2 linked regions of the Oryctolagus cuniculus genome follow. Each later gene encodes a partner of the first gene's protein in a complex. Links are inferred from orthologs where the notes say so. Each region holds a gene or a part of one and is shown on either strand. Other genes may lie near its edges.

Region 1 (3,819 bases):
AAAATACGAATGCCAGGCTGGCTCAGAATGTTGAAACCTGCGGTCGTGGGGAGTCTGGATCAGTTCTCCGGGAGTTCTGTCTTGGGTGGGTGGAGACCCCCTGGACTCTCCTTGGCCTTTCGCGCCTGCCTGCTGGCACTAAAATATCCTAGTGGCCCGTTAGGTCCAAGTAGGTTTTGCAGATCAGTGCTGACTTCCTGCTTTTTATCAACAACTTTACCTATTGTGCCAGCTAAACTGTTAGAACTCAACGATTGGACTTAGAATGTCTACTAGTCTTGCAAAGACCCTTCAGGAGTATGATTAATCGTTCACCTAACTTTAGATCCTTGTTTAAAAATGAAGAACACGTTGCCAAGCCTGGTGGTTGGTGTGCGTTTGCCCCTTCTCCCTCAGAGCATGGACCACTTTGACGACATCGGCCCCAGCGTGGTCATGGCCTCACCGGGCATGATGCAGAGCGGCCTGTCCAGAGAGCTCTTTGAAAGCTGGTGCACCGACAAGAGAAACGGCGTCATCATAGCAGGCTACTGCGTGGAAGGCACGCTTGCCAAGGTCAGTCACGTCTTGGGCTCTCGGGACCCTCAGAGGTTTTCCCACCAAAGTAGTTCATTAATTTAATTTTGACCTTTTAAAGTGAGCATGGAAATGGGTGCTAGAGATGTGCGTTGGGCGAGGAGCTGTGCACGCACCAAATAGCACAGCAAGAGCCACGCGGTCGGCACACTCATTAAAGTCAGAGATGCTCATCCGCTTGCCAGTTAGAAAGAACTGATAGGCACCTCCCTGAGACAAGCACACATGTGACACCCTCATGCAGTGAAGAGGAGGTTCATTAATACACACTAAGGCCTCTTAATCCCACGTTCCTGAGACCTGAAGTGCTTGGATTTCTGATTGATTTCATTTTATTGTTTTTGGGGTTTTTTTGGTTTTTTGTTTGTTTGTTTGTTTTTTGCATTTTCTGTATACTTAATGAGATATCTCGGGTATGGGACCCAAATCTAACTAGGAAATTCATTTGTGTTTCACATATATCCCACACACGTCACAGGAAGGCAGTTTTATGAAATGTTTTAGTGCCTGTGTTTTGTCTGTGGCTATCACATGAGATCAGACATGGAAGTTTCTGCTTGATGTGTCATACCAACACTCAAAGGGTTTCAGGTGTTTGCAGGTTTTAGGTTTTCAGATGAAGGATGTTGGGCCGGTAACGCGTTGTCTTAAGAAGCCCTGGAATGGGACTGGGTTGACCGTCCTGCTGTTGGGACTGGGTTGACCGTCCTGCTGTTGGGACTGGGTTGACCGTCCTGCTGTTGGTATAAAACACTGATGCTGGTTCTCCGAGGTGTGGATGCTGTGGAAAAGGTGTGCCAGGCCCAAAGGCAGTTGCTGAATAACCACAGTCACCTCCTCACCCTCTTCCCATGCACATCTATTTTATTTTTAAAAATGTGGTATGGTTCCCACTTTGATCATTTTTATTATTTCGCCTAATTCTACAAAGTCCTTTAGAAACAATATTGGCCATGTATTTAAGGTAGATTTCTAGAATAGAATTACATCTGTGCTTTATATGAGTCCTTGTATCTGAAAAGTGAATTTTTAGAGCAAAAAAATAGTTGGGAATACAGGTTTGTCTTTCTAATCATAAGACTTGAGATTTTTACTGCCAGCACTCCCGAAACATTGAATTTTCATTAATCTATGTATTTTCCTTGCTAATTGCTTGCCTGATGAGGAAAATGAACATTTAATTTCTGAGTCACAATGTTCAAATGTGTTTTGTGCTGAAGGTCCCACATTACCCTGAGAGTTGAATGGCTACGTGCACCTCCTCTTTCCTAACTGGAGAGTTTGTTTGCTTTATTTTGTGATTTGTCTTTGTTTTTCACAGCATATCATGTCTGAACCTGAAGAAATTACTACCATGTCTGGACAGAAGCTACCATTGAAAATGTCTGTTGATTACATTTCTTTCTCTGCTCACACAGATTACCAACAAACCAGTGAATTTATTCGTGCTTTGAAACCGCCTCATGTGGTTAGTGTGTGGATTTGATCTGTAATGTTCTAGTGGGAAAAGCTTACCCAGGAAACCAGGCAGCAGCTGGTTCACAGACAGGCACTGCCCGCCATTGTGGTGAACAGAGCGTCTGCCCTTGGGCGTGGTTTCGGCGCCCTGTCCTGGGCAAGCCGCGCACTTGCTCGTGTTTGGACCTCTCAGCCCAGTTTCGTGTGCTTGCTGGGGCTGGCTGCTTCCCCGGTGCAGTGCGGCTGCTCGTCCTCCCCTCAGCGCCATCCCCTGGGCAGGCCACGCAGCCACTCCACCTGCTATGTCCGTAGGGAGAATAGCCCTGCGTGCAGCTGTCGGGAAGGCTGAACGGGGCCGTGTTTCCACAGCACCGGATGGGGTGCCAGGAGCAGATGGGTGCTTAGCAACACCAGACAGGCAGTGCAAGGGTGGTCAGGAGAGGGGGAAAGATAAATCATAGAATAGCGTCTTCTTAGTACAGCTTGTCTATATTCTTAAGTTTCATGCAGTCATAAATGAAACAGTTATGTATCTTAGTGGGATCTAGGAGAGGAGTAAGCTGAAAAAAATATGTATTTTTAACTAGAAGAACACTTAAAAACATGTCTGTATTAAGTAGTATAGAGGAAGTGGACGTTGGTTAGTGTTGTAAACACTTTTGTTCAAATATATATAAAATGGAATTTGTAATTTAACAATTTCAGGTGTGTAATTCATGGCTTTAGTGATTTAGTAATGCTGTACAACCGTGAGCAGGGTCTGCAGGCAAAGGCTGCTCTGTCTTGTAAACAGATACTGTAACAGGGACAGGGAGAGACTGGCAGTTAACGCATACTCGTAAATACCTCCTCCAGAGCACTTCTGTTAGTTCTGAAATATTTCTTTGATGTTGCTTATTACACGGAAGAAACATCCGTTTGTTTTATCCTCACAGAAAGCTTCTGTTGGAAGTCTTAGAGTAAAAACTTGAGAAAGCTGTAGGAGCTTCTTGAGAGTAAAGTAGCAACGGTTCTGTACAAGAATCATGCACGGGAGGTGGTAGGGACGAGTCTGCTGGTCAGCCCTTGACCAGTGTTAGCGCAGAAACAGGAAAAGTCACGGGCTTTCTCAGTGGCAAAGGCTGGAGAAGGAAAAGCAGTTTCGCAGCTCCCAGTGTGTCTCTGTTTCATGTATTTAATTCAGGAACGGGCCGTCATTCGTCTGAATAAAGAACGTTTCTCTGTGCCCTTTTAACTTCTATTTTGTATAGATTTTGGTCCATGGAGAGCAGAATGAGATGGCCAGGTTGAAAGCAGCCCTGATTCGAGAGTATGAGGACAACGATGAAGTTCACATAGAGGTCCATAATCCTCGGAACACAGAAGCAGTGACCTTAAACTTCAGAGGAGAAAAGCTAGCTAAGGTAGAGGCTCCTGGCGCCTGATCCTCTCTGCTTTCTGAAGATAAGCCTCCTTTGTGCACATCACGATATTGTGCCTGTTTCTGCCTATGGGAATTTTAGTTTGTGCTTTTTAGGCTCCTTCTGGGTCCACTGATTCTTCTTCAGATGGGAAGTTTCCAGATTGGTTAGATCTTAATGCCGTAGAGTCTGGTGGGTAACTCTAATCCACACCGCCTGTGCTGTCCTTCCCTCACTGAGGGTAAACGCGTGCTCATTGCTGGTTTTGCTGTACCCAGTATAATATTGGCTTCTAGCTCTTATTCTCCCCAGGAATCTAAAACTAGGCCCGTGTCTCTGAACATGTATGTGATATGTTAGAATAAATTAAGGCCGGTGCCGTAGC
Region 2 (2,526 bases), on another chromosome or scaffold:
GCAGCTGTGACTGCCTGGGGGTTTCCTAGGCCAGAGCCTGCAGTTAAGGGGTCCGAGCCAGGAACCCAGCTGGCTGGGAGATGGCCTGTCAAGTCCCCAGCCAGGAGCCCCCGCCCCCTCTTTCTTGCGTGACTCCCTGGAGGGCCCTCTCAGCCCCTAGACCCCAGGGCAGCGTGGCAGGCTCCAACTGTTTCTCTGTGACTGTTGCTCGCCGTGTAGGCCGCTAAACATCTGGCTGAACCAAGCGTTCATCCTGACCTGAAGCTAGAACCTCAGAAACAAAAGTAAGGCTGACCATGCCCTCGCCCCACTGCCCAGAGACCTCCTCTCGTCTCTTTGATGTTTTGTTTTCCACTTTTATTTTCCGTTTTTGTCTGTCTGCATGGTGTTTTTCGGGCAGCGGCTCCTGCCATCATCACCAGCTGTTTTTCTGCCCTCTGCAGAGGGGCCATGGCGGAAGCCCTTCTTCCTGCTGGCTGAGCGGGACTAGTCCCGCCCTCTTTTTTTCCTGACCCCATCGGTAGTCTGCGTGCACGTGGTTTCCGCAGTAAAACCGTGTTGTGTAACTCTTTCCAGCAAAGTAACAATCCGCCATTACAAAGGTCGTCCTCCTTGATCCAGTTAACGAGTCAGAACTCTTCTCCCAATCAGCAGAGAGCCCCGCAGGTCATCGGGGTCATGCAGAGTCAAAGCAGCAGTGCTGGCAACCGGGGACCCCGGCCGCTGGAGCAGGTCACCTGTTACAAGGTGAGTGTCGGGGCGGGGGGCAGGCTGGGCTCCTCTCTCCCTCATTCCCGAGGTGCATGGTGCATCTTGCAAAATGAAAACCTCTTTGTTTTTGCCGACCGTAAGAGTAAAGTTGGGCCACTGTGGTGGCTGGAGGCCAGCTGCTTCTACCGCCATGCCCAAGGCGAGGTGACTGACAGCATGACGTGCTGCCAGGTGCACTGCGCTTGGAAGAAAGTGCGGGCAGTCTAGGAACAGGGAGAGCAGTCCAGGCAGTGGCCCTGAGGCCCTGGAGGCCGTGGAGGCCTTGGATCCTGCGTGGGCACACCCAAGGGAACAGGACTAAGTGGGGCCCGCGGGGGGGGGGGGGGAGGCCTGGATTAGAACACCCCTCCTGTTCCCCATCTCCCATACATTAAATGAGATGTTACAGGGAAAGAGTGAACTTAAAGAACCTACTAGAAAACCTGTTTTTCTTATTCCTGCTCTGGGTGGGAAGGAGGGGAAATCCCTGGAGAGTGTGCAGGTGCTGTCTGGCTTCCTGTGAGTCTGGGGCCTGTGCTCACGACCCCGGTGAGGGCTCAGTCACTCCGGGGTGGCATGCACGTGGCAGGAGCGACCCCCAGTGCTCTGAGGAGTATGTTGTCAGCCAGGCCACACACAGTTCCCCCAGCTAAGGGCTCCAAAGGATGAGTTTATGACTAAAAGTCACAAATACAGGGAAACAAGCTCCACGAGTGAGTCACAGAAAGAGCCCGCAGAACTAGACCCACAGAGACTGCAGCTCCCGGGCCTCTAAACATAGAATACGGGATTAGTACATGCTGTTGGTAAAGGGTTTGTACAAGACCGTCTACCCTGTGTAGGGGACAGTGAGTACTGTCCTTCAGAGTTCTGGTGTCACACTTTGGTTCCCTTAAAGGAGAACACATCAGGGACCCCACGCCATGTTTAGAAACTACCGTTCCTCACACAAGTTCAAGTCTAATAGCGATTTTAGTACAGAGCCCTGGCGTGCACAGCATTCTGCAATCTCTTTATAATATCTGCGGCTGCCTCCATAGCAGTGTATAGAAATGTGATCTCTTCCAGCGACTGCGTTACAGCGATCACAGCTCACTTCCCAGTGCTCTGTGGGTAGACGCTTAACAGTTGTGCTGCTGATGGCGGTGCTGAATCTGACACTTGGCCATTTCTGGAATCTTGTCTGACGATGGTGTTGCAGGCCATGCCTGTAAGAGGCAGGTCTGAGTCCGAGGGCTTACTTAAAGCCTTGCTAGAACTTGCCCAACAGAAAGGCTGCGTCCTGGGACACTCCGGAGGCCATCAGGTTATTCACGGAGCCCCGGCTCCGCCGAGAAGTTGGATCCTGCTGTGGCTCTTTCCTCGGAGGAGTCTGCATGAATGAAACTTGGGTGTGTGCATTTAGGGAGTCTCCCTAGAGACTTCTGGGCTGAGCCCTGGCCTGTGAGGAGCACAGCCAGCCTCCACGGCGCAGGGAGAGCCGGCATTTCACCCCATCCCCACCCAAGATGTCCAGCAGGGCTTCCTCTGTGAGGCCACCTCTAGGCCTCGAATCTTAGAAAGGCGGGGGGTTTGGGGCACCCGACTTTACCACAGCTGTCACTCCATGAATGTCCAGGAACCTGGGTCCTCAGGGTCAGCTGTGGAGGCTGTGCTGGCTCCCTCTGGTCGTCACATCTGCTCGAGGGCTGACTGGCAGCTCCCTGGGCCACTCCCGCAAACCGAGCTCAAAACTACGAGGCCTGCTGGACAAGGGGAACGGAACAGCCCAGTGCG

Evidence for each region.
Region 2: CPSF3 (region 1) and CPSF4 share a complex: the UniProt entries of both Homo sapiens proteins name them as parts of the cleavage and polyadenylation specificity factor (CPSF) complex. The link is inferred for Oryctolagus cuniculus from reciprocal best matches to the Homo sapiens genes CPSF3 and CPSF4.

What each region holds. Positions count from the first base shown.
Region 1 is NC_091433.1:192,647,414-192,651,232, reverse strand, and holds part of CPSF3 (cleavage and polyadenylation specificity factor subunit 3), read left to right. Parts: intron 1-396; coding exon 397-555; intron 556-1,897; coding exon 1,898-2,044; intron 2,045-3,284; coding exon 3,285-3,437; intron 3,438-3,819. UniProt on the Homo sapiens protein: Component of the cleavage and polyadenylation specificity factor (CPSF) complex that plays a key role in pre-mRNA 3'-end formation, recognizing the AAUAAA signal sequence and interacting with poly(A) polymerase and other factors to bring about cleavage and poly(A) addition.
Region 2 is NC_091450.1:41,661,395-41,663,920, forward strand, and holds part of CPSF4 (cleavage and polyadenylation specificity factor subunit 4), read left to right. Parts: intron 1-219; coding exon of another isoform or gene 220-288; exon of another isoform or gene 289-576; coding exon 577-978; 3' UTR 979-2,526. UniProt on the Homo sapiens protein: Component of the cleavage and polyadenylation specificity factor (CPSF) complex that play a key role in pre-mRNA 3'-end formation, recognizing the AAUAAA signal sequence and interacting with poly(A) polymerase and other factors to bring about cleavage and poly(A) addition.